Linked DNA regions of Caenorhabditis elegans. The protein of the gene in region 1 interacts with the protein of each later gene in a pairwise test. Each region holds a gene or a part of one and is shown in the gene's direction. Other genes may lie near its edges.

Region 1 (9,359 bases):
ACAGCAACAGAAATAGCTATTTTAATGACGTATCTGTGTACCTTTCTGCTTTAATATTATGATTTTCGAGAAATATGAGCATTTTAAAGTTTAATTAGATTCTGAAGTCCTGATGTTTTGAAGTTCCTCATTCTAGAATGCATTCTGGTAGTTCTAAATTAACGGAAAGCATGAGTTTTAGATTTTGAGCGGTTTTTTTCTTTTAATTCCCTGCTTTCCCAATTTTTTTCAAATATCCGCAAAAATATTCCACATTTCTATTTACTATCACATGATCCTACTACTAATTACTTTTAAATCGAATCATCTAGACTTCCTCAACTTCATCTGACTCATCTTCAAATGTAAAGTTCCTCGGCGTCTTTCGCAATGTTCTGAATGTTGTCGATTTCCTCGCGTAACCTCTGCTATCTGTTAACGGGTGTCTTCTTATCAGTTTCACTTTTTCTTATTTTTTTAGTTGTCAATCTCTTGCTAGTAGTTCCCTGATTTTTGAAGAAAAAAGCTCGTCCCAGAAATCTTGCAGAGCTGGAAAATCATTAAAATCCATATTCCTTCTTTGGAAGCGGTCATTTTCAAAACTTGTATATCGATTATATCTTCAAATTTTAATTTTTTAAAATCATTTTACCCAGTTGTAAACAAGTTTTTCATGAACAAATAAAAAACAGCATGAAAAGCATAATCTTGGTAGACATAAGGGTTAGAATTTTGCCTAAAATTATAAAAATGGACCGAATAAATTCAATAATGTAAAAAAAATGAACAAACATTTCTCAAGTTTTCAGTTTTCCATAAAAAATTATAAATTTATGTAAAATTATCGATTTTTAGACCAATTTTGAAGATTTTCTTTCGGGTTATCAAGTTTTCTTTACGAGAAAATGTCATAAATTTTTTTGCAAAATTGAAAAATCATTGGTTTTTTTTCTTGAAATTTAGAATAATTTTATAAATTTTTAAACACTTTTTTAAAATTCGACCATTATGCTCCATTTTCTAGCATTTTAAGCAACCCCGTCTTTAAAAAGCTGCATTTAAATTATATTTAGCTTTAAAACTCTTTTTATGCTAGGAAAGTGAAATTTCGTTAATCATTATCCAACAAATGCTCTCTGTCGGGATAAAATTTAACTTTTCCAATTGTTTTCCAGATTTTTCCAAGTAGCAACCCTTGAGTGTGCCCAATCATTATGCCTATCCACACACACAAACATTAAGTAGTGGGTAGGCTAGAGTCTTTCATGCACAAGCAAATATACACCGATTCGTCTTTTTTCCCTCTATCTGCCACATAGATAAAAGAAAGAATAACCTTCTCCTCCCCCACAACACCACCACCACTAACGGCGTCTTCTTCGTCTCAGTTTTCTTTGCTTTACGTAATCTACGTCTTCTATTTTTTCGGGGTGCTCTCTTCGGTTGGAACTATGTGTGAGAGTAGTGTGTTTCGTGTGTCTGTGTGAGTTTTTCCTCATCTTTCTCTCTCTTTTCGCGCGGAAAGAGGGCGCCCGAGGTCGGAGAAAAAAAATGAAAGGCAGAGAGGATGGAGGACACAGAGGAACGAAACGAAAATAACTGAATCGATACATCTGTGGGGTTGGCGGTGTTGAAGAGAAGAAGACGAAGAAGAAGATGAGGGGGTGGAGCTCTCCGTGCACAACGGCTTCTCCTCCCCCATCTTTCTCTCCCGTGCTTCTCCTTTTACTAGAGTCCGGCGTTGTGTTGTGTGTGTGTGTCCCCGCCTTTTTCCGGAATACGAAAGTAGGTCTAGTTAATGGTTAACTACCTCTCTTGCTCCGAAGCAGGCTTTTTCTTTAATTGCTTCTTGCAACTTTTCTGAAGCTCTACCTTTCTACTGGGAACTTGTTTTCTTTGAAATTTAGAGTTTTTAAAACTTCCTTCAGTTCTCATTCTCATGCTTTATAACCATAAAAGTGTACATCAGAATAAATCCTAGATCATAAGATCATTCACATTAGCATTTCTTTTTGGAATGCTTTTTCCGAGAAAACTGCACTTTTGAGGATTTTATCTTCGAACTGAAAATTCGAGTTGTACTTTTGAAAAAGTTTGTAGCGATCTACCTGATGTCAGTTTTATTTTAGATTTCCTGCACAGTTTCTTTCATGAATTTATAATGTTCAACCTTTAGTTCTCTCAGTTTTAAGGTTTAATGCAAAGTTTTACATACAGCCTGAGGGTCTGTGGATTTTTTTGTTTTAATTGATAGAAAATACCAGATTATACCTATGAAAAATAGTTTTTAAATTTCAAAATTTGATGAAAAATCCGAAAAAAGTGCCAAATTTTGCTTATAATCGAAATTTTTCTAGAAAACCGACCAAAATATACAATAAAGATAAATATTTTGATTAAAAAAAACTGTATTCCAACTGCTGAAACAAGGGTGGAAATTATTTTTACACTTTTTAATTTATTATTACAAAATCATTAGAATTTATAATTTTTCAACAGTTTTATCTGATCTTTAAGTGGTATTTTCTTTCATTTAAAATAAAAAATCCACAGGCGAAACTCCAAGAATTCAAGAAGCTCATTTTATCGAAACTTTCAAATCTTGCTCACCGTGATTCCCAAGTGTTTTAAATCTAAAGGAAAATAAGTCTGGTTTTTGAATATTTATTTTCAGTTGTTTTAATTATCAATTAATTAACATGTTATTCCGAATCTAAAACTCAAAATTTTCAGAAAAATGTCGTTGTCGGGGTTACGTAAGCAATTCAACAAGGCGAATCAATACCTTTCGGAGACGATGGGCGCCGCAGAGCCAACAAAACTTGACGATGTGTTCAATGAAATGGAGAAAAATGTGGATACAACGTATAATTTAATTACGGATCTCGTCGCCGGAACAAATGAATATCTTCAACCAAATCCAGCTACTCGAGCAAAAATGGCCACACAAGTTGCCCTGTCAAAAGTTCGTGGAACTACAAAAACGTCACCGTATCCACAAACAGAAGGAATGTTGGCTGACGTCATGCAGAAATATGGACAACAATTGGGTGATAACAGCGATTTGGGAAAGGTTTGCCATCCCTTTTGGAATTTTAATTTCTGAAAAAAAACCCATTTTTTAGCAACATTTGTCAATATTTGTTCTGTGAGCAATTTCTGAAAATGTGACCAAAATACAGCAAAAATAAAATTACTATTTATTTTGTTTATATTAATAATTTAATTGAAACATTAGGTTGATATTAGAAAACCACTACTTCGGTATTTTTTAGATTAAAATTTTTTGCACGGCTTCAAAATCTTCTTAATCATAATTTTAAATTACAATTTTTTTCAATTCCAGAGCCTAAACGATGCTGCAGAAACGTATCGACAAATGGCTGATATCAAGTATCAAATGGAGGATAATGTTAAACAAAACTTTCTCGATCCATTAACACATTTGCAGAATAATGAGCTGAAAGATGTGAATGTAAGCTTTTTTGCGTAAAAAAGGGTTTATTATTAATTCATTATTCAGCACCACCGCACAAAACTGAAAGGACGTCGACTTGACTACGACTGCAAAAAGCGTCAGCAACGACGTGATGATGAGATGATTCAGGCGGAGGAGAAGCTGGAAGAATCAAAGCGACTCGCTGAAATGTCAATGTTCAATGTGCTTAGTAATGATGTGAGTTTTACGATTTTTTTTTGGAAGTTTTTACTATTTTCCCCTATTAGACTTGCTATTTGACATCGGTTACCCTTAGTTTTATTTTTAAGAAGGATTATTCTCAAACTTACGAATATAACAAAAGAAAAACGGGAAAAATCCGTTAAGATTTCGAATTTTTATGTCAGAAAAATCAACGAAAAACCTTCAAAATTTAACTAGCGAAATCATAGGCCACGAGGATTGTTCGAATTTTGATCCTGTTCTATACTATGTTTTTAATCAGTATTTTATACAATTCCTTTCAATATAAGCTGTCAAAGTTTAATTTTTTTTTAATCTGCTGAAATTTTTTTCCACTTCCCCTTTTAGATATAATCACAAAAAAATTCTTTTCAGGTCGAGCAAATATCTCAACTACGAGCCCTCATTGAAGCCCAACTCGATTTCCACCGACAAACAGCCCAATGTCTCGAAAATCTACAGCAACAACTTGGCCATCGAATCAAAGATGCAGCTGCCAGGCCTCGTGAAGAGCATGTTCCATTATCAGTTCTTGCAAATGAGAGCAGAACTCCAAGATCCAGGTTGGTATAAGCATGAAGAGTGAGAAAATGCATGTTTGTTGTGAGATTTTGAACGCTCAAAAAGACCTAGTTTTTAAAAAACAGCTAATTTCTTGAGATGCACTTTTGAGATTCAGCTGAAATCTCCAATTTCGCCAACATTTTATTGAAATGGAGCTGCCCCAAAAAGCTGAATAAACTACCAAAAAAAATGTTGAATATTGGAGGATTAATTGAAATTTCGGGCCGCTGTGGCACGGAAAAATTGGCAAAATTGAAGTTTTTTAAAGCTAAATTTAGATTTTTGTTTTCTTCTCAAAACTTTGAAACGCCATGAAAATTGTACGAGAAGTTAGAATAGAATTAGTTATTTTTAAGAAATTTTGAATTTTGAGTACAGAGATTATTTCATAAATCTACCTGAAAATTAGTTTTTTCAAAAGATACGAAAAAATATATAAAGCCGGAACTAGGCGTTTTCCATTTTTGTTTTCGATTTAAAAAGGTCCCACGCATCATAAAAAGAGAAAACCCCCTGTGCTCTTAAGAAACGGAAAAAGCACTGAAGCATCATTCACAAGTAATAAAAAGGAGGAAAACATATGAAGCACAGACATAGACATGCAGAGTCTATGATTGATTACATCGCATTATGTCTTTTTACGGCCGGAGGAATACTTTTTTGGAAGGAATATGAATGTAAAAAGATCGTTTAATGACTGATTGACACGAAAATATTGAAAAATTGAAATGTTTTCGGTGTTTTTTAAGCTAGACTAGTTTAAGTTTTTTTGAAAGTTGAGAAATTTCAAAAAAAATTATTAAAAGAAACAACGTAAATTTTGATTTTTGATTATCTTTGAAAAAACCGAAAAATTGAAAATTATTCTACGACACAACCAAAAAAACATTCTAAATTTAATTTTAAAAAAATAAGAATTAAATTTCGTTACAGTACCCCCCGCTACAGTACTCCCTGATTCATATTGTGATTGATTTTTTATTTTTTGCATGCTAAAAGCCTCTTCCAAAACATCTCTTCAGTTTCAGATCGCCTGCTCCATCGGATATGAGTCACAATTCTACGGCAGCCGCAGCCGTACGTTTTTTTGTTTCAGAAAAAATTGAAAAAAGTGCGACTTTTCAACAAAAAAAACACGAATTTTGGAGATTCAGTTTTTCGGATTTCAATTACTGAAATTTTTTGGAAAATGGTATAATTTTAAAAAAACACTTGTAAAAAGACCGGAAAATGTTTAAAAAATGTTTTTGAAACATTTATTGAAAAATCAAACTTTTCAGATATTTTTCGAGACGAGAAAACTGAAAATTCTTGATTTTTCAGAAAGCCGAAATATTGATCAATTTTCTGGATAAAATTAACCAAATATTTCAATTTTTTAGTTTTTTCTCATAAAAAACATATAATTTTTCTTTAAAAAAACAGAAGTGTCTAAACTTTTAAAGAAATTTTTCGCAAAATCAATTTCTATTCGAACCGACAAAACTAAAAATTTAAAAACGAAAATTCCAGATTTTTCGGTTTTCCGGAAATCCTAAAAATCGGAAAAATATTGGGAAAATTGACAAAAAATTTCAAACTTTTAAAAATTTGGTTGATGAAAAAAAAAAGTCAATTTTCTTCTTAAAACGGGTAAATTTTCTCGAAAAAAAACTACAAATTAAAAAAAACCAATTTTCTAAAGTCGAATTTTTTGTTTGTTGAAAATAAGTTACTTTTATAAGAGAATTGTGTATTTTCCCATCAGCATAAAAAATTTGAAGATTGAATTTTTTAAATCAATTTTCTAAATCGAAACTATTCGTTTTTCAATTTTTATTTTAAAAAATCGAAAAAGCGATACCCTTGATTAGAATATTTTGTTTTTGAATAAAAACCTAGTAATTCAATTTTCAATCCAATTTCTAATATTATGTCCAGTTTAAGATGCCACCACAAAATGGAGGAGGAATAACACAAGCACCACCATCATATCAAGGACCTCCACCAGGTGGACTTCCACCTCCACTCTCCCAGCAGCAGAAGCCACAATGCAGAGCTCTATTCGATTTTGATGCTCAAAGTGAAGGAGAACTGGATTTCAAAGAAGGAACACTGATTGAGTTGGTATCACAAATTGATGAGAATTGGTACGAAGGACGTGTGAATGGAAAAACTGGATTATTCCCTGTTACCTATGTACAGGTTCTAGTGCCTCTTAAATAAAAAAAAATGTATTTCTCCCTCCAAAACCCAGTCAATTCTTTCCATTTTTTGCTGTTTTATTGCCAATTTCTCGTTTTCTCCCCAACTCCAAAGCCATGCTCCTCATCTTTGTCTCTTGAATTTTATTTCACAAAAATATTTTATTTCCCTTTCCAAATCTCACTTTTTCTCTAGGAACCCCTGAAAAGTACTCATTTAGAAGAGAATGGGCTATGGTCTCTATGAGGCTAAAATAGTTAATTCTCCTGATCCATTGTGCCGAAATCTTTGTATTTATTAAAACACTACTTGCTTTATATACATCCACTACTTTCCCCCAGTCTGCCACACCCGATGCGTTTTCCAATAGCAATACCCTGACCCACATTACCATGTATTCTATGTACTCTCTACACTACCAAAAATGTGCATTTATCAAATCTCCCTTAAAATAGCAGCATGTTATTAGTTTTTTTAGCTTTATTTAGTAACTTATTTTCAACATCAAAAAATTCATTGCAAAATTACTTATTTTCGTAATTACTTATTTTCGAGTATATGAATTTGATTTTAAACTATTTTTTTTTTGAACTCGGAGATGGAAAAAAGTCAAATTTCTTGTCTTATCAATTTTAAAATTGTTTAAAAAAAGAAGTGGATGAACAAGAAAATCAATAAAAAACTGAAATGAAAACGAAATTTCGAAATATCCGGAATATTATATTGTCCACGAGGAGTACTGTAAACAGACACCCAGTTATGTTATTAGTGACGTCATATACTTGCACCATCTGCTCTCATACCTGTGCACCATATATCTCATCGATTTTTTTTTGAACATGAAACGAATGCAACTATCATTTCGTCCATTTTCTTCACTATGGAATTCAAATCGAATTAAAAAAGGTAGAAGTTGTTCCAATCAGAAGAAGGTAAATTAAATTAATTTTTATTTGTTAGATCAAAAACTATAAGTTTCAGAAATGTAACTCTTTCAATCTACTCCAACTACCATACCTAGCATTTCGAATTGTTATTCATCAATTAAGTATTTTTTCAGTGTAAGTTATCCCGTGGTGTCAGACTGTCCCATTATGGTTTGATCTACAAAAAAGGCGGGATTTTTTTGCCCAAAAAATGTGACGTCAGCATTTTTTTAACCATGCGAACCAGCATGGGACAGCCTGACACCACGTGAGTTATTCCAACATTACATATCGTACACCCTTCAATGTTAGTTATAACATAAAATCACATAAAAATTACGGACAAATCGAGCGAGAGTGAGATCAACTACATTAAAAACGTTTTAATTTTAATTTTGGCTGAATTTTTTTTTAGAAAATCGCAGTTTTAATAGTTGTATTTTCAATTCTTTCTCGACGCTCTAGAGTATTTGAACAAAATCCCAATCTACAGTGTTACAAAAGCCAGTCTGAGACAAATACTGCCCAGTTACGGAAATTCGTGATTCTTGACCGGTCTCGGCACGAACGAAATTTGTAGCCACTGTACCCAACAAGAGTTTCGCAATTTGCTTCGCTCTTTTTCTTAAAGGTTTGCCCAAACAATATGGTTGAGCCCCCGTAAAATGCCACGCGATACTGGTAAAATCTCCAAATTATTGCTGGTACGGTAGCTGCTAATTTTTGGTCGTTTCGAGACGCGGTGACGTAGCGCAACTGGATAATAGAGCAAAAAGCAATATTTTTCACAATTAATTAAACAATTAAGAATACGATCAGTTCGATCAGTTCAGTTCTTTTAATTCCTAGTTAACCTTTTTTCTCAAGTTTTTACTTTGGAAATACATTTATATTTGTTGATGTTTCAGATTACAATTATCTCAAATTTCAAGAAGAACTTTGAAGAAAATACAACAAGTGAATCGGAAAGTTTATAAATTATTGGTCTACAACCATGAATTCACGCCTTATGGTGGCCAAGAACATCTTAAGACTTATTCAGTTCGGCAACTCGTTGTTATCGAGAACATAAGTGATTATCAAGAATTTTATGATATGATGTGGTCACAAACTACTGTATCCTATAGATTCTTGACAACTCCTCCGGTGACATATTGGATCCGAAGCGTAATAAAAGAGTACGTTTCATCTTGAATTATGTCTGAAACTGATTCAGTTTCAAGTTGTTGAACCTCGTTTCCACCGGGAACGGAGGACTCAAAGATGGTTCCCAAAGACTTAACACTTCTCCAAATATGGAATTTACTCTTGAGAATACATTACATACCGTATATCCTCTATTAGTATGGCGCCTCTATTAGTTTTGCACCCCTTCATTTGTTCCCTATTTTTAGGTATTCAAAATTTGAATTATAAACTCGTTCTACAAATCAGGAAAATTCTTACAGACTATGGTTTAACAAGTAAAAATTGGCAAAATATGAGTAGAACTCGGACAATTTTTGCGTATTAGTCGTAAAATTCGCCCACTTTGGTTTATAAGTTATTGAAATTGATGATATTATGCTATAACTTGATGGAAAACATGAGAAAAAACCTGTTCGAAAATTAGTTTTGCACCCTCCATTAGTTTTGCATCAAATTAGGTGTCAGAAAGTTAGTTTTGCATGCCTTACTAATAGAGAAAATACGGTATATGTTATAACCAGGGCTTCCATGTAGGCGTCAAAACGCGTGCCTGCCTGATCTTATTGTTAAGGCGATCTTCGCCTGCCTCTCCCGTCAGTCGCGCCTTATGCTAAAACATCAAAATAATATAAATGATAAACTTAGAAGTTTGTAAATTCATGTTAAAATTCAGATAAGAGACGGATGGCCCGTGTGGGGCGAGCATGCCTCAGGCAGGCGTTGGGCCTGAAACCAAGTTTGCATACCATGGAAGCCCTGGATATAACAAACCCATTTCAGTTATCCCAACATGAAGCTTAACGGAATATCATATATGTCGTATGAAAACAAAAAGG
Region 2 (7,952 bases), on another chromosome or scaffold:
GACAGACAAATATTTGCTAATTGCGAAAAAGTGTGCGCCTTTAAAGAGTACTGTAGGTTCAAACTTTCGTTGATGAGCAATTTTATCGATTTTTCATAGTTTTCTCGTTAAAAATATGTGTTTATTTTAAAAAAAACACTATATATTAAAAAATAAAATCACATAAATCTAACACATCGATATGAATTGCGCAAAAACGGGAGCTCAAAATTACAGTACTATCTTTCGTATCGAGACCGGATACTGTATTTTTACTCCAATTTTGCCACTTTTCCGTGTGGTAACGGTGACGGAATTATTTTTTAATTAAAAATTGGGGATATTTCGACTCTCTCACATACTTTGCTCTTGTGAATCTGCAAAAATCTTCTCCACCGAGCTCCATCCTTCCACTGCAAGAATCGAGAATGGGATGTCATCACAGCGTAGCAGATGCTGAAATTTGAATAATTGTTCTATCTAATGCTCTCACAGCAACCGCGCTCTCTCGTACGCTTCTCTTTCTCTGCACCCTCCCCCTCTTATTGTCTCCATCGACTATTTTTCTCAATATTATGTGAATAAAATTGAGTTCATTTATGAATATGCGACTTTTATCGGGTCAAAAAGCGATCTGTGTCTTCCTTGACCTTCTTGCCACCACGATTTGTTTGGCTCTGTTTTTGGTGAGCAGAAATGAAAGATAAATTGAAATATTTTCAATAAACCGGAGACAATAATTCCAGGATAATTCAAGTGGCGACAAACAGTACATTTTCCTTTGTCTTATAGTTTTTGCCACAGACGCTGCGTGCTTCGGAGTGCTCTTTTACAACATTTACTCCGAATTACGCACAAATGGACAGCAAAACCTCGGAATCCGCGCTTTCTGGAACTTTTTGTATCCATTCAATAATGTTTACACAGGACAGTTCGGTTAGTACGAAAATAAATATATTTTTTGAATAAAAAAAATCGATTTTCAGTATGCATCACTTGCAAAGTGGTTTTCGAGGTTCTCATCGCAATTCGGCTGACATTTGCACTTTCAATTCCATATATTGTCTATTTCATCCCATTTTGGATCTTTTGTGGAATAATTTTTGTCGATCTCACGCGGAGACTTTACTCCGTTCAAAAGAAAATAAATAATCATTGATTTATAAATAAATTGCATTATTACCGTCAAAATCATCGTCGTGCATAATGCATCCGTGTCGACTGAAACGATTAGAACCACACTCTGAAGCAGAAATAACGTGAAAATGGAGTAAAAATGACTTTAAACTCACTTTATCGCCTTTCTTGATTTTATTGTAGAATTCCTGCCGAAAGTTGTCTTCGATGATCATCTGAAATTTATAATATTGATTTAAAATTATTTTTTATTAATTTCAAAAAGATAATAAGCAAAAAATCTCGAGAAAATCACCAGAAAAGTGTGAAAAAAGATGCGTTCGTTTCAAATTAATGGCTTCGCGCGTTGAGAGTGCGGCAGGGCGCAATTGCATTTCTCGATTTCTCGCAAAAACTGAATTGAAAACCGAAAAATCTACAGAAATAAATCTAAAAGTGGGCAATTCAATTGAAAATAATAATGTGCTGTTGCTGAATGACAGAATGGTGGTATGTTACGTCATCTGGAGTGTTTGGAGAAGACGTCATCGCGCACGCGGTGAACGGGGAGGAGGATTGAGTAGATTTGGTCAGAAATGTAAATATTATACAATATTTACAAATTTTTGTATTTCAATTTCAAACTCATAGAAAATAATATGAATAAATACACATCAGGATTTTATGAACACAGACACGCGTAGGTTACATTCAAGGCGAGGAGGTTTTTCTTTCGTAAGTTAAATATCTACGTTTATTGAGTTTTTTCAGTTACTGTATTTAACTTTTTGTTTTTTTCTCTCAAATACCCTCCGGGGGAAGGAGTCCTCCTTATTTTCTTTGATTATTCACAAAATTCAGCTAATTCAGTTGAAAAAGCGAAATTAGTTTAAAGGAGCACGCATTTTCTGGAGTTGTGGGTCTCGCAACGAAAATGTTTTGTTTTGTTTTAGGCGAAATTCAAATATTTAATTTCTGTCGTTTTCAATAATTTAAACAATTTTTGGTCGGAAAATTCCGGTTTCAAATGCATTTAATTGAATTCCTGGCATGTTTCTTTGTTCCCTGCAGCCGCTCGTATCTAGACCACGTGTTACTGGGAAAAGCCATGTGACGCACCGGCGGCGCGTCACTTGGCTTCACACCGCCCATCCACTCCCGTAAAAAGCGGGTATAAAAACCGAGTAGAAGAGAGAGAAAGCTCAGTTTATTTTGGAAGGACGAACGAACTCTTCCTTCCGCTCATACCACGTATCTATTCGTTTTTCTTCCTTTTTGCCACGATTTATTGGCAAATCGGGGACGCTCGTTGATTTTTCTCGCACATTTTTTCTATATTCATAAAATCAAAAGGGTGCTGTAACACTTTCAAATTGCAAATGTCGAGGCAACACTATTTGTTTTGAGTGTATTCCTACAATATTGTACACAATGAGAATATTTTACACAAAACACGGACGCCACCATTGAATATTCATACATGCGCTCTACTCTGGCCATTTTTGTAATCTACTATAACATTTTTAATTTTTAAAGGAAGCTACAAATTCGTCGATTTTTACCTTATTAAAAAGTCTAGGATATAAGAGAAAAACAACTTAATTTTATGAAACCTGCCATATAAATTCGAATTAATAAAATGTTTAACGTGACCTTAACCTCGCTCCCCAGCTCGTGGCACATATTTATGGATATGCCACGTGTACAATAGGGTCCTCTCGAATATTTTCAGTTGCACAATTCTCCGTCTTAATTTTCTTTTTTCCTTATATGCTCTCAACACAATTCTAATTTTCAGCTCAATCAATTGACGGCGGCATATGGAACCTTATATTAAGGCATTAATGTGAGTAATGCGAATATTTCATCAACAAAAATAGCTTTTTTGCAGAACCGATAGTTATGAACAGAATAAAAACTTCTTCAGATGTCGGTTCATGAAAAATCGGAGGGGCGATGAGTGTAACTTCGTCGGCACATTTTCCGACACTCTGACCCATTTTTCGATACACACGTAAGTTTTGGCGCCGAAAAATGTTTGCAATTTTTGAGATATTGGTTTTCAAAGACTCTTACTTCCTTGAAAACAAAAAAAATTAATTAAGGCTTAACATTAGTATTTATTTTAGGAAAGTGTACTTGTTCGAATGCGAGGGATGCACAAAACAAGTGGTCGACTTCATGGACCTTGTGGAACACAGATCGCCTTCCACCGGCGCAATATGTAGAGGAACAGTCGAGAATATGCGGCAACTTCGACTAGAGCGCATGAAGACGATTGATGCTCACCGCTGCCGAAACGTTTTCATTGTAGGTGCGACGCGAAGCGAGTTTGAGGATTATCTGAGATATAAGAACACTCACGGAAAGCAACAGTCGTTCGGCACACCGTTGTACAATGATAATGAAGAGGAACAAACTCGACATCAGCCGCAACAGCAGAGATCTTCAACACCACTTGCACCGACAACTCCAACTCCGCCACCACCAACACAAGCTCCTACAAATCACCGAGAACTGCTGTTAGACTTTCCACTTCCAGTAGATTTCAGTCGGCCACCGCCAGTTATTCCGCCGGAATACTTCTTCAATGCTCCGTCTGTATCCCAACAACATCATCAAAGGTCCCAGTATCAACATTATGCTCCACAACCACAAGGAAATCGTACTCCTGGCTATGTTGCACGTCCCATCACTCCTCACGGCAACCCGAAGCCACAGAACTACCAAATTGGAGGAGGATGGAATCCTTATGCAAATCCACCATCAGCAAAGGATGCACCCGCTACTGTCAGAGATAATAGGTCTCCGTCGAGACCTCGAGGCGATTTTCGTAGAGACCGCTCCCAGTCCAGAGGTGCTGAAACTCATTGTCAACAAAGCTATCAACCACCAGCGGATCCACTTCAAGATCGTTCAAGAAATGGCCGATCGCCACCAATGGGAACTCATTCGCATTACGGACAAAATGCAAAACCTGCTCAAAATGGAAATACTTCCCACTACGAGCTTCGCTCCCGGTCCAGAGGTCGTGCAACTGTACCAATGAATGCTAATTTCCGTGCAGGGCATCAAACAGGATCTTCATCTCGCCTGGAGTCTCGATCCAGAGCTACAGCGTCAGTCGGTGCTCGCGCTCCATCAAGGGCTCCAGCCCCGTCTTCAACCTCCAGAGAAACTAGGTCGACGCGTCGTTCTCCGTCAAAGGGTCCAAGCGCACCGGCATACACTCTTCCTTTCGGTGGTTCAACTCCCAATCACGAGCCGATGGATTTGGAGTTGGAAGATCCAGTTCCACCACCACGCCCGGATCGACCTCGTGCATCGACATCATTGAATACGTCGGTCTCTCAAATTAAACGCAATGAAGTGCAAACCGGGTAGGTGATTTTCGTGTCGGGATCCAAAAAACCTGCATTTTTTTCAGAGTCTATAATATCCGTCCCCAACGAGTCCAGGATACAGTCCAAAAGGCTAGAACTGCTGTTGGCTATGCGGGCACTCGTAATAGGAGTCCTCTGCGAGAAGCCGATGCTGAAGAGATTGCAGGTAAGATTTTGAAAATAGAGAACCTCGAAATATGCTAAATATTGAATCGAATTTTTAGTTTTTCTTATTAGTTTCTTATGGGGTTATTCAAGTAATGTAGCAAAATGTATTTCAATACATTTGTGACGTCACAAATGTATTTGAATACATGTTTTTATATACTTGAATACAGTTGTGACGTAATTGTTCTACACTTTTTAATTTTCCGATATTACTTGGATAGCCCCATTACATTTTAAAATCTTTTGCAACATTTCTTTAATAAATCGATAATTTTCAGCGACGGAAGCGCTAAAAAACCGATTCGCAGTGAAAAGCAGAGGAACCGCAAAAGCCAAAGCAAATTCAAACCGCGGAGCTGCACTTCTTGAGTCAATCGAGCCAACCAATCGAAAAATCGAAACAGCGGAGGAGCGGGAAAAGAAGCAGAACGATTTATATTTGGAAAAAATGAGAAAGATTAGAGAAAAGCAACGTCTGGAACAAGAAAAGATAGACGATGTGGTTGTCGATTCAGGGAATCTTCCTACGATTGCTCCAAATGCTGCCGGAACTCCACCACCGCAGTCGGTCGCCGCCATGCTGGAGCCGAAGGAAGAGTCTGAAGAAGACGAACCGTCGACCTCCGCAAGTGTTCCTTTTCAAAGAAGGGTACGGGTCGTTTTTATAGTTTCGTGATGTTCAGATTTCGGCTAGGGAGCAAAATTTTTAGATTTTTTTGAAAAAGGTAGTATTTGATATAGATCGGTCTGCTGAAAACTTTGAGCTCTAACTATCTGAAGAACTTATTGTAAACCCTTTTTTAAAATCATTCCCAAACAATTATTTTTCCAGATGAACTCTCCTCAAACTCATGCGACAAGCTACGCGAGGCGCAGTGATGGAAAGCGTCACCCATCGAAATCGCGAAGCTCCAGGGATGACCGAGCCAATAGGCGTGACCGAGATCGGGATTCTGACGGACGCTGTGGAGATGACCGCCGACGGGACCACCGCAGCCATCCGTATGAGCGACATTAATCGAGGTTCTCATGTACCATCATTATTGACTCGATTTTTTAAAAGAAAGGAACAACATTTCATTTTTCCTTCAAAGTATTTATTTTTTTCTAAATTTTATCCCCCTTTCAGGAGAAAATAGATCTCCAACCCCCTCCCCCGTATTTATAACATAATAGTATTTTCCCCATAATGTGCGATTTTTAACGGATCTCTCTTTCTGTCCACATTAATTTTTTTCTAAATTTTATTCCCCTTTCAAGTGAAAATAGATCTCCGACCCCCTCCCACTTATTTATAATATAGTAATAGTATTTTCCCCATAATGTGCCATTTCTGTCCACATTAATTTTTTTGTGTGCCTTTTTCTTGTCATCCGCTTTTTTTTGTTTTTATAAAAGTAATTACCAGTTTAACAAGCTTTTCCTCCGACACTTTCAGATGTACGTGGTAAGAGTCGATCTATGCTGTCTATAGGCTGTTTTGGCTTAAAAACCATTCCAAAGATGTGAGTGCGGATGAATCTGCGAAAAATTTAATTTCATCTGAAAAATCAGAAATTTGCGACGCCACCTAGTGGCCGCGAACAATAATCGGTAGGTCGCGTTGCAGACAAGGAGGTAGGCGTGGGTCGCCTTGTAAGCCAGGAGGTAGGCGTAGGTCGCCTTGTAGGCAAGGAGGAAGACGTAGGTCACCTTGAAAACTGCAAAAAGTAGGCCGCCTTGTAGGTAAGGAGGTAGGTGTAGGCCGCCTTGTAGGCAGAGAGATAGGCGTAGGTCGCCTTGTAGGCAAGGAGTTAGGCGTAGGTCACCTTGTAGGCAAGGAGGTAGGAGTAGGTCGAGTTGTAGGCAAGGAGGTAGGCGTAGGTCGCCTTGTAGGCAAGGAGGAAGGCGTAGGTCACCTTGTAGGCAGAGAGGTAGGCGCACGGCCCGGCAAGTGGTACATCCATGCAAATGCGCTCTACTGATAATTTGAGTGTAGACCAGGTTTGGGCGCGTGATAACGAAAAAAGCTTTGGTCCAAAAAAATTTAGAATTTAATTTCGGACATTTTTTATATGCATCACAAAAAAACTGGACCAACCGTTTTTGAGATACACGCGCCCAAACGTCCAGGTATACGGTAGACAAATTGCGTACAGGTACCACTGCTCGGGCCGTGAGGCGTAGGTAGCCTTGTAGGCAAGGAGGTAGGCGTAGGTCACCTTGTAGGCCAGGAGGTAGGCGTAGGTCGCCTTGTAGGCAAGGAGGTAGGAGTAGGTCGACTTGTAGGTAAGGAGGTAGGCGTTGGTCGCCTTGTATTCAAGGAGGCAAGCGGAAAGGCTAAGATTGAGCTTAAACATATGCCTAGGCATTTCCAGGCGTCAGTGCCTACAATTTGAGATCTATCAATACGGCGGAATTGATTTCCAAGAGGACATTTTGTGATTGGCCTTCCCTCTTAAAAAGCTTCTGCATCTGTAAATAAGCTTCTCCTCCATCCACCATAAAGTGCAAATCGGGAAGTGTCAACAATTAGCAAAGGAAGACAGTTACCCAACGGAAGGACCCAAACGAAAATAACGATGCATTGAAGTGAGAAGAAGTAATAAAGGATGATCGGCTGGGGTCGTCAGGTTCTTAATAACAGACACAAAAGAAACACACACACAACCGCATACTTACTGTAGAAAAGACGAAGAGGAGGCGGTGACGATTGAAAAAAGAGAGAGAGAGAGACCTTGGATTCACACAAGAATCAGTTCATTTGTAAAGTTTCGATCAAGTTTATTTAAAGCTTCATCTTACTGCCTGGAAAATTGTTCATCAACGTGAATTTTTTAAAACTTTTCTGAGCATTCTCATTTTGTTCCAGGATTTTTGGGCTTGTAAAGCAACTCGGTAAAACCTATTTTAGTTCCTGCTGATTTCAATCAAGTTGTATATAGGCCCTGGCGCCAACTGAAACATTTTGAAAAACGGTATGTAGCTTTAAATAAGGACACGGAATTCTTTTTAAATTGACTTGCAATCCCTTCCTCAACTTCAAAAACTCATATCTCGGTAGTTTTTGACTTTATCCAAAAATAGTCAACTGACAAAATACGTGAAAAAAGTTAGTGCAAGTTAAAAAAATAATAGGAATATTCATTGAAGATGGACAACTAAAATCTGAGAATTTGCTTTTTAGACTCCAAATAGCCCAAAACTGCTGAACTTTGAATGAGACAATTTGAAAATTTCTCAAAAAAGTTAAGGCGGTTCAAAACTTTGTAAAAAATGGCCTGTGTACACATTAATTGGGAATTATTGTTAACAGCTGATTTTTGT
Region 3 (7,675 bases), on another chromosome or scaffold:
GATTATATGTTGAATCAATATTAAATGGTTGGAATGATGACCATGGTTCACATCCGTATTCTGTCCAACGTTCTGATGATGATTTTGTGGTGAAGAGGCCCGTGTCGCTACTGAAAATTGATTTTTTTCGATTTTTGAATCTAAATATGTGAATTTCCTTACCTCCTCCCGCCAAGTACAGTACTATTTGCCTGTGGCAATGGCATATCAAAGAACTCAGGCTTCTTTCGATCACTAATATACACACAGAGGAGTACGGTAGTCGATGTGAGAGCCAGCAAAGAGAAAAACGCAAGAATGAGCATTCCGATGAGCAATGAGGTGTTGTTCGAAGTTCCGAAAAATGGAGAAAACGTGGTGGATGGTGGTGCTGGGGTTACTGTAGTTGTAGTAGTTGTTTGTGAATCATCTACACACCATGGGCATACTGTATTGGATGCTTGAACTTTGACGGTTGACATGAAGCATTGACCTTGGATCTGGAAATTTTGGGGATTTTGGAACAAAATTAGACTTAAAATTCAATTTTTAATGGGGTTTTTAGCAAGAAGGTTCGAAATAAAATAAAAATATTCAATTAAATATCAAAATCTTGTTTTTCTATTCGAATTTTTGTGAATTTTGCAAAAAAAAGGCGGAAAAACCGTGCCATTATTTTTTTGGAATATTTTGAAATATTTCATTTTTTCAGCTAAAATCTGATTTTTTCGCTAGCTTCGAATTTTTTATAAGAATTTTTTTATTCTAGCTTTTTTTTCGATTCGAAAACTAGGTTTTTAATTAAAATTCACAACAAAATCCGCCGAATTTTTCCGAATTTTTTGCCTGAAAAATCTGAAATTTAGATCAATTTTCTAACCTGCAGTGTTCTTTCCAAAAACTCTGGCGTTTCCCCAGTAGAATTCTGGAAAACCCGAATATATCCAGATCGATCACAAGTTCTAGCCAATCCATATACAGGATCCACTGAAACAAATTGAATAGATACCATCCAATCATTTAATCGTCCTTTTGGCCAATGGGTTACTGTAGGTCGAGCGATTCCATTTATATACTCGAAACTTGATGAACGACGTTCGTGGTGGGGAAGGATTCGTTCGTCGAGCTGGAAAATACTGAATTAATTTTTTTTCAAAGTGATCTACTAAACCGCGCTCCTTTAATGGCCCGAAACTACCAAAAATTCTGCTAAAATTTGAAATTTTGGAATTTGTTTTCGAAACTTTTTTACCATTGTATTGGGCTTTTTTTGGGTCGCAGTGAAGAAGTAAAATTTTGAATTTTCAAAGAAAAAAACCAAAAATCGAGTAATTTTATGGCAAAGATGTATATTTTGCGATAGATTTTTCGGGGAAAAATGGTGTTTTAAAACATATTTTTGACGCGAAGTTCAAGGAAAATTGACTTTTTCGGCAAAATTGGTTGTAAAAACTCTGAAATTAGCGCGAAAATTAACCAATTATGTTTTTTTCCAAAACTTTTGGACTATTTTTCAAGGAATCTTATAAATTTCCAAAACTCACAGTCATATAGCTCATAGTTGCACATCCACTAGTCTCTGTACCCCATGAGGTCTCATCAATTGGACATGGTTTCCGTTCCACAGAGAGAACATTCACGTGGAGCCACATTTCAGAGATGACCGGGCTCACGGAGCACACCAATAATAGTAGAATTCCATAGAAGATGGGCGACGACATTTTAGTGTAGAGTGTGTGTCTGAAAGAAGGATTTTTTGTTGAAAATCAGGAAAAAAAACGGAAAAAAATTAAAAATTATTTTAAAAAAGTTGCAAATAAATCAAAAACTGCCATTTTTTCAATTTTTCGGAGAGAAAATCGAGAAAATGCAACTTTTTCTGCAGAAAAATATTCAAAAATTCAAAATTTTTCCAATTTTTCGGTGTTTTAGAGAAAATTTCAATTTTTACTTCGGAAAAAAATTTTTTCTGCAACTCGAGGAAATCGTTTTTTTAATACGACCAGAAAGGAATTTTAGGAAAATTGGAAAATTCTGAAGCTTTCAGAAAATTGAAAATTGCCAATTTTTTGAAGAGAAAAGCTAAAAAATTAAGATTTTCCCCAAAAAAATATAGGTTTTTTCGAATTTTTAAAAAAATTTCAATTCAGAACCAAACATTTTCGGTGATTTTTCAATAATTATTTTTCGAAATTTGGAAAAATCCAAAAAAAAGTGTGAATTTCAGTGAGAAAAAAAAAGCTAATTTCTGCAGAAAACAGTGAAAATTTGAGAATTCTAGGAAATATCGAAATAAAAAAAAGAATGTCGATTTTATCGGATAAAATAATACATCGACATACTTTGAGAGACTGGAATAAGAATAACACAATGACTGACTAATTGGATGCATGGTCAGGTAGAAGGAGGAAGGGGGTGTCACCTAATTATAGGCGGAGCTGGAATTACAGAGCGTCTCGAGAGATGGTTATCTTGTCGAAGGACGGGATTAGCACCTTTTACAACGTGTAGATGTCTATTGAAAGAACAAAGGATTTGATTTGTGATGGGCTGAAGATTAAGATGTTTATTGCCTTGTTTTGGAGCTTTATCTGGGCAAAAGATAAGATTTTTTTATACAAAATTCGAATTTTTGACGAAAAACGTAATAAATAATTGGATTATAGAGGATTATAGACCCAAAATGTGCTCGAAATCTGAAATTTTGTCCATTTGTCTGAGTTGCAGTAGTTGATGGAAGGTATACCTATTATAATTTGGTAGATGCACAAAAGTTGGCAGGTGTGTGGTGCACACATATCGACCGTAAATGTACCAAAAAAACACAAAAAGTATGCAAAAACAGCTACTTCACTGACAAGTAAACAAAATTTAAGATTTTAGGTTATTTTTTGCGATTTTGATTCTATTTTCAATTGAGGAGCAGTAAATAGCGGTTCTGGGTACTAAAAATGTGCTTATTTTTGTTTATTTTCCGCTTGAATTCATTTTTTCAACCCAGAGGTACCACACAACATCATCTCACTACATTTTTTGTGATATATCAAATATAATATGATTTTAAAAAAATTGAAAATACTTTTAATGGAAAATCTGACAGAAACCAAGATAAAAAACTACAAAAAACTGGGAAGAACTGGGAAAAAATTTTTTAAAAAAGTTTTCTAAAATTAAAACTACAGTACACTTTGTTCAAGGCGCATGTGCCGTTTATAACATCGTGGCGAGACCCTCGCCGAAACTCTGTCCATGCTGCTTATGATTACTGTAGTTTATTTATTGTTTAATTTTCTTAAATCTTTTATTTGTTCAATTTCCTCGTTTTCCTTCGCTTTTGTTCCAATTTTCTGTTGAAAAAAGTATATTCATAACAAAAATTATTTCTTTCTTTCCAAACAAGCCAAAAACAAGGCCATAAACCGGAAATAGCCGACAAAAGAAGTGGAGATGAGTTTTAGGGTTCGAATAGGACTGCCGATGGTTTACAATGCCGATTGTGACTGTGGAGATGGCTGTAAAGGTGCGAATAGTGATTCTTTTCAAGTTAGCCGCTGGAAATTTCTCTGAAAATCTGAAATTTTACCTGAAATCTGAAATTAAATTCAAAGAAATGCGTGAAATTATAAATTTTTATGAATTTTCTTCAATTTCCCCTAAGAAATCAAGATTTTATCCGTAATTTCCGAAATTATAGGAAAAAACCTAATTTTTTTCGGCTTGACGCAACTGCGCTCCATTGCGAATTACGAAGAAATAGTATGTGAATCGAGGAGGGCACAGACAGCTAGACATCATGCTTCTCATGAAAATTCATTCGAATTTCTGCGATTTCTATGACGATTTTTCATTTTTTCTTTGATATTTTAATTTAAAATGCATTTAAAAAATCATTTCTCATTGATTTTCTTAGTTTTCAGAAAATATCAATGCAGAAAAAAGAGAAAGAAGGCCGAAGAAAGCTGAAATACGACTCAAACGACGGTCTTCTGCCGGTAAAATTGGCAAATTTTCACTTTTTCGCCTCAAATTCCAAATTTTTGTAGGAAATTCGCCGAGTTTGCGGTTTTCCACACCACATTTCCGAAGAATTGTCGGCGAGAGGGTCTGGAAAGAAGAAAAAGCAAGTGGAGGAAGAATGGAAATGGCCTGAAGCTCAAATATGCGGAATTTGCTCTGTAAATACATTGATTATTTGGAAAAATATTGGAAAAAACTAATTTTTCCCTGAAAAAGGCAGAAAAATTGCAAAAAATCATCAAATCTTTGAAAATTTCGATTCAGAACTGGAGTTTAAAGTAAAAAAACCAGATAATGCTGAAATTATTTGATTTTTTAAAAAAGTTTTTAGTCCAAAAGAGCTGCAAAATTCGAATTTTTGATGATTTTAGCATTTTCAGAATAAAAATTCCCTTTTAAAAATTTATTATAGGCCTAGGTTCAGGCTTGGGCTTAGGCTTGGGCTTGAGCTAAAGCTTAGGCCTAGGCTTATGCCTTTAGGCTTAAGCTTAGGCTAAGGCTTATGCGTAGGCTTGGGCTTAGGCTTGAGCTAAAGCATAGGCCTAGGCTTAGGCTTAGGCCTAGGTTCAGGCTTGGGCTTAGGCGTAGGCTTAGGCTCATTATATTATTTTTGCAAAATTGGAAAAAAAAATCCCAAATTTTAGAAAAATCTCTCCACTGAATTCATAAATTTTCAATAAAAAAATGCCCAGATTTCCAAATAATTTTCCATGTTTTTTTGCAGTCCGGCGGTAACATTCTATGCTGTGAACAGTGTCCAGCATCCTTTCATCTTGCTTGTATTGGATACGAATCATCCGATCTTCCAGACGACAATTTTTACTGTAATCGATGTAGAAATCTTCCGGAAAACGTTCGGCTCTTTCCACCGGAAAAGTGCTCGCCGTCTGTAAATCCAGTGCTCCGAGTTGAAAATGAAAATCACCGAAATTGGGAAGCTATTGAATATCATTGTAATCGACTTAGAGATGAGGAACAGGCCGAGAAAATGAAAAAAGATGTTGCTTATGGGCCAAAAAGTGAATTTGCAGAAATTCAAGACTGTTTTCGGGATAAAAATCTACTGAAAGCACTTGGAATGGCTAATCCCATGGATGTAAGGGAGTTTTTTCAAAAAAATGAATTAATGCTTCAATTGAAAAATTAATGAAAATCGAAAATTCTGGATTTTTTAAAATTTAATTTTTTTTTTTAATTTTCGATAAAAATAGTTTTAAAAAATGCGAAATTTTATTAGCAGAAAATATTTAAAACACTTTTTCTCCCGAAAAACGTTGAAATTTTCGGCGTTCGATCCGATTTTCGGGAAAAAAGTGAAAAAAAAATTAGAAAAATCGGGATTTTTAACACTGTAGGATAGGATAGAAACAGAAAAAAACACAATTTATTTGCAGAAAAATGTACAAATATTTTTGAGTATTTTCGACCTTTTTTCCTGAAAATTATCGTTCTTGAGACCATTTTTCCGATAAAAATATTAAAAATAACGCTTTTTTAATTCTTGTTTCGAGTTTTTGTGAAAATTCTTTATTTCTGTGTCCTTCAAAAATTTCCAATTTTACAATAATTTTCTCGAGAAACCTAGATATTATTCCAAACATTTATAAATAATTTTTCCAACATTTTTCAGTATACAATACCACCGGAATTCCAAGCAGATCGTGATTGTTTCTCTGGTGATGCAATGGAAGACAAGAGGCCAACTATAATGGGAGAAGTGTGTGCTGAGTGCAATTTGTACGTTTTCGTAGCAAAAATGGACCTAAAGTGCCAAAAAAAAGAGGAGTTTCCTACCAGAAAGTATTGAAATTGAGCGATTTTCTCTCGAAAAATATCCGAAATTTTTCTTCAAAAAAAATCATTTTCGATTCTTAAAATGATCTCAAAATCTGAACTTTTAGATTTTTTTCTGAAAAACACGATAGAAAAATCAAAAAGAAAAATCAAAAATCAAAAAATTTCGTTTTTCGATTTTCCGATTTTCCAAAAATTAGCTTCACATTTTGGACATTATTCTTATTTTTAGAAGAAATTTGGATTTTTTTCTTACAAATATAAGCAAAATTAAATAAAAAATCGAATTTTATGGTTAATTTTCTGAACATTTTTTTCAATTTTTCGATGTTTCGATTTTCACTGAAAAACATCGAAAAATCGAAAAATGGCACCCTTGATCCCTTCTTGAAACTCCAATTATTATTTTTTTTGCAGAAAAGACGACTGGACACGAATGCTAAAATGTGACTTTTGTGATCTAATTTGGCATCAAAAATGTGTTTTTTTTCTGGAAAAAAAGTTTTAGCTAATTCAAAAAGTCAAGATTTTAAAATCTTAATTTTTTTTTGAAAATCAAAAAATCACCTGAAAAAGACAGAAATTACCTATTGAAGAAAAATAACATATAGTTTTCGAATATTATGTGATTTTCAATTGTTAAGAAAAATTCAATATTTTTTCTGAAAAATTCTGAAAAAAGTAAATTTTAATTTAAAAAAAAAATTTTCTGTAAATTTTCTGAAATAAATTTTGTAGTTGAGGAAAAATTTCAAAAATGTTCCGAAAAATTTTCTTAAAAATTTCAAAAAACTTTCGGAAAAACTTCAAATCAACTAGTTGATAGAATGAGAAAACTTAGAAATTTGTAAATTCCCTTAAAAATGCAGAAAATAAGCAAAGGTAGGCAGGCATCAGGCCCTGAAACCGCGCCTGCCTACCATATAATTTAAAACTCCAATTATTTTTTGCAGAAAAGACGACTGGACACGAATGCTAAAATGTGACTTTTGTGACCTGATATGGCATCAAAAATGTGTAACACCTCCACTTATTCATGTTCGTGCATATTTCTATTGGATGTGTCCAAGACATCCAGAAACTGTCATTGATAGTGTTTTAATTGGTGATGAGATTTCACGAGAAGATCGTCGACGGCTTTATGATAAATATGCTGATGTTGAGCCGAGCTACGAGATTTTTGAGGAATTTTGTATTAAAACTGAACAATTTCGAATGAAATCGGAGGTTTTTGGTGAGGTTTTGCTTACTGAAAATCTTTTTTAAAAAACTTGAAATTTCTAGAAATATTAAAAAAATTTTCTAATGTTTTGGATTTCTTCAAAAATCGTTTTTTTTTTAATTTTTAAAAAAATAGAAAAATGCTAAAAACTGGGAAACTTTTAGATTTTTCCCAGGAAAAATGCCAAAAATCAGAAATTTTCAAATTTGTTTCTGAAAAATGCAAAAAACTTTGAGGTTTTCAATTTTTTCCAAAAAAAAATCTCCGAAATTCCGAAATATTTAGATTTTTACATAAAAAACAGAAAAATCTTTAAAATTTTCAATTTTTTCAAAAAAATGCTAAAAAACTCGGAAAATTTTAATTTAAAAAAATATGAAAAATTCCGAAATATTTAGATTTTTCTAAATAGTTACAGAAAAAATCAATTTTTTCTAATGTTTTGGATTTCTTCAAAAACAGAAATTTCAAAATTTGTTCCTGAAAAATGCAAAAAACTCTGAGATTTTCAATTTTTTTCAGAACATTTTTTATATTTTCACATTAAAAAAGCAGAAAAATCTTTAAAAGTTTCAATTTTTTAAAGAAAAATGCCAGAAAATCAGAAATTTCCAAATTTGTTTCTGAAAAATGCTAAAAACTCTGAGATTTTTGGATTTCTGC
Region 4 (6,849 bases), on another chromosome or scaffold:
CGTTCCTGATTCAACACGGCTGAGCATGGCAACCAAACGGTAGTTGCCCGTTTGGGATTCCGATTACACGTCTAGCATGTCTTCCAGGCAGAGAATCGCTCTCCTAGGTTTCCAAAAACACGTCTAGCATGTCTTCCAGGCAGAGAATCGCTCTCCTAGGCTTCCAAAACTGCGAATGGCTTATTCTTCACAGAAGAAATTTTTTCGACGAATATCCATCGGCTCCACTGCCGTGCCACTGCTCTTCGAAGATTTTTATAAAGAAATACTCACTTTCTGCGGCTAGGTGCGCATTCCTGAATCCGTGCTGCAATTGGGAAGCTTGTCGACCATCAGTTGAGTGTTGAGTGAGCTTGCGGGGATTTCTTCATAAATTGAGCTGTTGGGCACGATTTCCTGGATCTTCCGAGCAGCCGATGACATCGTAGATGAAGTTGGGTTCAGTGGTAGATTTTACACGTCTGGCATGTCTTCCAAGCGTTTTGAGCCACGCATGGGATTTCCTATACACGGCTGGCATGTCTTCCAAGCGTTTTGAGCCACGCTTGGGATTTCCTATACACGGCTGGCATGTCTTCCAAGCGTTTTGAGCCACGCTTAGGGTTTCCTGAATCGACTCCACGCGTCTGGCGCGTCTTCCAAGCGGTAATTGCACGCTTAGGCTCCTGACCTCTTCCTCCGACTGGCTTGCCGCTTCCTCAGGTCCCGCCGTGTCACGAGCTGGCTTTTTGGTTCGTTCATCGGATCCAATCCGACTCGGTTCGGTGCACCATGTTGACACTCCAATCCGAGAGATAGCCAGAACCTCGGAGTGACAAAAAAGACGACGGACGGAACGAGAGGAGGGATGAGCGGTGTGAATATAACAGAACAATTAGTACGAATAAAAACCTGTTTATTGATCAGGAAAAACGTAGAGAATGTGCTGCAGGGCAGCCAGGAGTCGAATAATAATTAATTAGAAGGAGTACGGCATCACACGATGGGAGAATCGGAGGAGAGTGACGATAATTGCATCATCAAATTTAGGCCAATAATTAATGTGAGCAATGGCTAAAGAGAGCGCGCTACGACACTCCGTTGTTGTCCGTGGAGCGCGCCTGCATTGCTTGGCGGCAAATTCAAATAATAATTGTTTATTAAATGATTATTAGAGCGAATGTTCTTGGAAGAATACGGAAGATATTGTGAGTATTCGGCGGCGGATGTTAATTGTGGGATCGTGGGTGATTCTGACCAATTAATTAACTATACATCCGCAAAGTTGGGATGCGCCGACTCTCCGGAGCCCAAGTCACAACATTCCACTTTTATGATAATTACATAACGAACTTTTCTGTTTTTTTTTTCAATGTATTGCTGATACTGTTAGCAACTTTTCAATTGATTATTCATTCCTTCAAAATTTCAGATTTTAAACTTTAGAAATTTTGGCAAAATTTACATTTCAACAACTTAATCAGTTTCGGAAGAAGCAACAACATTTTGTTTAAAAAAAGGGACCGAATTTGAATCGAATGATTTTTCCAAACATTTTCTGTAAAATTCGAAAGTTAGAGGAAATGTTTGGTAAGTTTGCCAACTGTTCAAACAGTTCTAGAAACTTTTGAAAATTTGATAAACTTTTGAGAAGTGTTTGAATATTCAGGAAAGATTAAACAATTCTGAAAACGCAATAAATTCCTGATATGTTCAGGACAATATAGAAAAGCTCTATAAACTCATAGAAAGCTTGCGTTGTTTGGAATTCGATAATTGCAAAATTTGGCAAATAGATAAACCTAGAAAAAAAGATACATTTTCATTTTTTTTAATTTATCGTAATTTTTCTCGATTGTCTCAATGCTAACAAAACAGGTCAATAACAAAATAAATCTCGCAAAACAAAAATTTTGGTAATTTAAAATTGCCATAATTGCTAAATACTATGAGTACTACACCCCGTCTAGGTAAAAAGTAGCAAGTAATACTATGATTATCATTTTGAGAACTGTTTGTACTTTACATGGATTTCTCAAATTTCTGTAGTAATTTCGATCGACCAAACTTTTAAACTTAAATAAAAACTCATCTTCGTTCTTTCGTAAAACCCGTGACAGTCAGTAGATCCTTCATTTTAAGGAGGTTCTGTTATTTATTTGCTCTCTAGTTAGTTCTAATAAACAAAAATTTCAAAGTTCCAATGAATGAATAACTGGCAAAGAAGCTAGTTCCGCCTTTCCGCCAGTGATCTGGTTGAAGGCAAATTGCTCAGCTCCGAATTCGAATGCAGTCATGTGTGACCACAAGAATCCAGCAGCGATTTATAGGAAGAGGGCAACAGTCAATTTACGAAGTGGGATTGGAGTCTGAGTGCAGTGTAGAGTCGGGTCAAAAAGACAAGCTAGCTGTTCATTACAATCATAGCAAGAAAGAGTTGTTTAGCGAAACAAAAAGTCCACGGGTGTCAGTGGTTTGACATATGAAGACAGAAAAAAGATGATAATGATTGAGCGCATTTCTCACTCTCGCAACATTTTCAAGGTTCCCAGGCTGCAAACGTTGCATTGGAATGACTTTTGCATGTCGCAGACTGCATTCACTTTCGATTCATTTGCCCCCAATTGCTTTATTCCAGAATTCTTGTTTAGCATTCTAACATGCTCTAATAAACAATTATACTCACGTTTGGAGCAGTCGGCGGCTCGGAGATGGCGACGGTGTATTTGATTCACGCATCGATGGGTCCGGAGTTGGAGTGTCCATACCTAAACTTGTAATGAGTGTATTACAGTTGTTATTATAACCAAGCAAACAAGTTTGAGACTATGGAAAACCAACTGATTACAGTAAGACCAAATCATAACGTACAACCAAAAAGTACAACGTACAAAAAAAAAAAAAAAAAAAAAAAAGATACAACCCAAATTCCAGGAAAAGTATTCAAGGTCACTTTTTGATACAAAATTAAAATTTTTGAATAAATTTATAATAAATTCAGTTCCAGAATATATTGAGTTTGAATTTTTCACTACTTTCATGAGCCGTTAAGTTGCCTCAAAATTTTAAGGTTAAACTTTTTGGAAAATTTAAGGTTAAACTTTTTGTTAAATCATTGGAAATGTTTTTTCGACTCGGAATTTCATCCCAACATGCCATAGAAACAAGAAATCTGAAACTCAACAAAAAATGTTGAACGAGCTGCGCACTTTTTAGACAATAATTTTTGAATTTTTCTCTCAACTTGTTCAGTGTAAGGATATTTGTAAAAAAAAACCTGGAAGACAACTTTTTTCTTGGTAGTATGCTTAGCTAATTAACTCACTGATAAGATCAACTACACCAGTCCAATTTTCAATCCACATGGTTCAACGCGTTTTAGGAATAAATCATGAATGCAACTGATGCGAACATCCTGTTGAAAGACGAAGGAAAGGCAGAGCTCAAACGTCGTTGAATTTCATACGAAAATAGTTCGACTTCACAAAAGCATTTATTTCAAAATTTGGTAAACTCTATAAAATATAAAGCGTTTTAACTTCAAACGTTTTTATTACTCTGACGGAAAATGGCATTGGAAAAACCAAAATTTGAAAGTTCGCTGACTTCAACAATTCTCGGCTCAACTGAGACTCCTTCTAATATTTTTTTACAAGTTAATCTTGCAGTAAGTCTATTTTATCTTTAGTAATGTTGTCCAAAAATGTATAGAAGTCCAAATTTTAATTAATTTCTAATAAAGTTAAAAGTGGAGTACCAAAATCTGAGACTTTGTGTTTTTAGACCCAAAATGGTCCAAAACAAAGTTCTGGAAAAAAAGCCCAAATTTGTTGCTTTTTTCACACATTTTGGTTTTGAATCTAATTGTTCAACTACTGTGCGAAATCAATACACAAAGACTGTTTTTTTTTAATTGTTTTTCTTTTAAATTTTGCTACACTACTTTCTCACAGCTAAAATCATATGCGGTTGAGGTTAATTTCAGATTTATTCACATGCTTATGATTTTCACTTCAAACATGTCACATCAAGAAAAATTAAAAATTGACAAACTGATTTTCAGGAGGAAACAACTTCAAAAATAGAAGGAGAAACCAATGTCACGTTTGAAAGTATCATTGAAAGCGGCGAAGACGATCACATTGAAAGTGAACACCAGCTACAGCTTATTCTTGATTGTATACTTCCGCCGAGGTGGGTAATTTGATAAATTGGCAGCTTAAGCCAGAAAACAAAAACAGAATTATGATCATGAAAGACACATTTTGTAGAGTTTACGAACAAAACGGAAAACTATGGAAACAGCAAGCGTCGCTTCATCCTGCTACGCGACATGACATGGTAATTTGGTGTGAATTTGAAAAATATTTAGATATTTGTGAAACTAGAAGGTAACTTGTTAATAGTTAAAACCAAATGCTTAAACCTCTTTTTTAAATATAAACACGAATGTTAGAAGTACGTTCAAAAAAATTTCAGATAAATCTCGAGGAAAAACTGGAAAGCGAGTTAAAAGACCGGGGAGCAAAACCATTCGGAATATGCCCAATTCGACGCGATCTTTACGGCCAGTTTTTCGGTCAGTGTTCCTTTTTTCAATTCATCCAAGACCCATTTGTCTTCTTTCAAGCGCATAATGATGCCCTTTGACAAAAAGACAGGTGTGTGAATCTTCTTTGCTTCCAGATGAGCTAATCCGTCAAGTCAGTGTCTCCTGTGTGGAAAGAGGTCTTTTATTGGTTCGCGTTCGTGATGAAATTCGAATGACTTTTGCAGCCTACCAGAATGTACTAGAGTCGGCGATTGCATATGGTAAGTTACAATTAATAGTTTTCAATTTCAGAATATTAAAAAAAAAACTTTGTGTGGATTCTGACTACTTCTTAGCGCCTAAAAAAATACAATAACCACACCGAATTGATTCAATTTTCAGGTGTCAGAAAAGCGCTGTTCATTGAAAACGAACAAACACGGGCGACGACTGAATGGAAAGTGCAAAAGGACAAGAACAAGGAGCTTCATCTAAAGGTGAAAAGAAAACTATTACTACAGATGAATAGAAACCCATCGGGGAAAAACGGAGGGGGGGGGGGGAGAAAATGGAAATTAGCGGAGGAAGAAGCAATGTATGTCGGATGTTGCAGATTGCCCAATTGGAGAAAAAATTGGCAACGGATAAAATTGTAAGCGAGGAGGAATTGGAAATTGTGGAGCAACGAATGAAGGACACCAACGAGCGCCTTGTAGAGTCAAATAGAATTCTCAAAGTTAGGCTTGAAAAATAATTATTTCAAAAGTCAAAGTTTTCAGAACCAGCTTCAGTCGATTCTTCAGATGGATGATATGTCACATGTCAAAGTCGGAGAAACAGTCGCACATTAAACATATTCAAATGTATTATATTTTTGTTTCAACACTATACATTCTAATAAAACATACTCAATATTTCTATGTATCACAAAATTGTAATCTTGGAGAAAATCCTTACATTAGAAACATTTTCAAACAATACAAACTTTTTTTTTGCGCAGGGCCTGTTGCCTGTATTCAACCTGCCCGCCTCACGCCTCTTTGACCGCGCCCGACCCTTTCCGGGTTTTGCGCCGCACTAAACAAAAAGCGTGGCTCGCGGCGCGAGACAGGCGCGGCAGGCGTTTTGGCGTCTGCATGGAAGCCCGTTAGCGTTTTTTTTTTAATTTCAGATCATGTTAACAATCAGAGAAGTGAAGTTCAGCATCAAAGTATTTCAGTATTTAATTTTGTTATTTGTAATTTGTTAAATTGAGGAAAACCACAATTATTCAAAATACACCAGAATACTACAGGAAGTGATTTATTTTCAAAAATATATGAATAAAAATTGAGAATAACAATTTCAAAAAGCTTTTTGTTTTATCGTGAGTTAAAATAGTAGTTGATTTTCTCCTGGACTTCATCTGAAAATGGGAAAGATCCACAAAGAAAACTGTTATCTTCGTAGGTCGATTTTCTTGAATACTCTTGTTCATTCCAAAAACTGTTTTTAAATTGGATTTTCATGCTATTGAACCATACTCGGTCAAGAGTTGGTAGGAGATATTGGTAGACCATCTGAAAATATGAGTTTTGATTGTGTAGAGATTTTCAAATGCAGAGCATACCATTTCATGAATTCTGTGATTCATTGGAGCCGTACTGGTAAGACCAAAATGAATAGCTCGTGCGAAGTACTTCCTTGTCTGTAAAATTAGTGTTTTCTTTCAACGAAAAAAAAAGGTTTTCGGTATTTGAAAATATCAAGTTTAAAATATAATATTAAATGAAAAATACTATTATATTTGTGTTTGGCTAAAATGTTTAACTTTTCTGACTAAAATGAGCACAAAGGACTGATTGTCGAGAGCAGATACGATGTGTGCTTTATCATTCCATAGCAACTCAACTGTGGAAATCCTAGAAGTACCCGAAACTTGTACCCAGTTCAAAACACATCGCAACAGAACACATGAAGGTGTCATATGCCTGTTCCCGTGACTTACAAACTCTGATTTGTCATAAATTCTTTGCAACAATGTGAAAGCCAGGCAGTCGAGGTTGTCTCGTGTCAAATTGTAAACACTTGGCCAGATGTTCTGAAAGTTAGGATTAATGTATTGCTTTTTTTTGCTCCGTCTTTTTGATTCTTTTGTGTCTAACAAAAAAACTCACGTCCTGATCACAACCAAAAGGTCGAAATGCAAAGTACACAACTGTCATGAACTTTTCCGTCGAGTTTTGCAGAGTTTCTTGACTTAGCCCATCCGTGCTCAGAACCTGTGTAGTGAAAACCTGTCTTGCATAGTCTGGGACCGAAGCGTCTAGAGTTAGAATCTCGTCTTCGTCGACATGTTC

What was found.
Region 2: the proteins of unc-57 (region 1) and F34D10.4 interact in a two-hybrid assay, tested with the Caenorhabditis elegans proteins (one large-scale study listed by BioGRID).
Region 3: the proteins of unc-57 (region 1) and athp-1 interact in a two-hybrid assay, tested with the Caenorhabditis elegans proteins (one large-scale study listed by BioGRID).
Region 4: the proteins of unc-57 (region 1) and dyla-1 interact in a two-hybrid assay, tested with the Caenorhabditis elegans proteins (one large-scale study listed by BioGRID).

Annotation. Positions count from the first base shown.
Region 1 is NC_003279.8:4,672,423-4,681,781, forward strand, and holds unc-57 (Endophilin-A homolog), read left to right. Parts: upstream 1-2,712; 5' UTR 2,713-2,716; coding exon 2,717-3,052; intron 3,053-3,325; coding exon 3,326-3,454; intron 3,455-3,502; coding exon 3,503-3,655; intron 3,656-4,036; coding exon 4,037-4,224; intron 4,225-5,247; coding exon 5,248-5,302; intron 5,303-6,145; coding exon 6,146-6,430; 3' UTR 6,431-6,985; downstream 6,986-9,359. Other genes in the region: T04D1.2 (F-box domain-containing protein), read left to right, coding at 7,249-7,341, 7,391-7,470, 8,244-8,513, 9,304-9,359. UniProt on the Caenorhabditis elegans protein: Involved in synaptic vesicle (SV) recycling in neurons probably by regulating clathrin-mediated endocytosis. By controlling SV endocytosis, regulates the rate of excitatory postsynaptic currents (EPSCs) at neuromuscular junctions and thus locomotion.
Region 2 is NC_003281.10:3,733,709-3,741,660, forward strand, and holds F34D10.4 (C2H2-type domain-containing protein), read left to right. Parts: upstream 1-2,893; 5' UTR 2,894-2,915; coding exon 2,916-2,941; intron 2,942-2,986; coding exon 2,987-3,109; intron 3,110-3,224; coding exon 3,225-4,475; intron 4,476-4,522; coding exon 4,523-4,644; intron 4,645-4,924; coding exon 4,925-5,295; intron 5,296-5,478; coding exon 5,479-5,664; 3' UTR 5,665-6,057; downstream 6,058-7,952. Other genes in the region: evl-18 (Cell division control protein 45 homolog), read right to left, coding at 342-435, 1,163-1,222, 1,272-1,331; F34D10.3 (Serpentine Receptor, class E (Epsilon)), read left to right, coding at 585-665, 726-915, 966-1,138.
Region 3 is NC_003281.10:10,878,465-10,886,139, forward strand, and holds the start of athp-1 (PHD-type domain-containing protein), read left to right. Parts: upstream 1-3,301; 5' UTR 3,302-3,499; intron 3,500-3,896; 5' UTR 3,897-3,905; coding exon 3,906-3,971; intron 3,972-4,022; coding exon 4,023-4,154; intron 4,155-4,720; coding exon 4,721-5,092; intron 5,093-5,626; coding exon 5,627-5,733; intron 5,734-6,743; coding exon 6,744-7,024; intron 7,025-7,675. Other genes in the region: C44B9.3 (C2 domain-containing protein), read right to left, coding at 1-110, 163-479, 860-1,105, 1,524-1,631.
Region 4 is NC_003284.9:16,837,558-16,844,406, forward strand, and holds dyla-1 (DYnein Light chain, Axonemal p28 type), read left to right. Parts: upstream 1-3,480; 5' UTR 3,481-3,547; coding exon 3,548-3,646; intron 3,647-4,042; coding exon 4,043-4,173; intron 4,174-4,250; coding exon 4,251-4,320; intron 4,321-4,458; coding exon 4,459-4,558; intron 4,559-4,665; coding exon 4,666-4,791; intron 4,792-4,912; coding exon 4,913-5,007; intron 5,008-5,123; coding exon 5,124-5,246; intron 5,247-5,289; coding exon 5,290-5,361; 3' UTR 5,362-5,416; downstream 5,417-6,849. Other genes in the region: F41G4.8 (uncharacterized protein), read right to left, coding at 5,872-6,069, 6,120-6,197, 6,498-6,590, 6,667-6,849.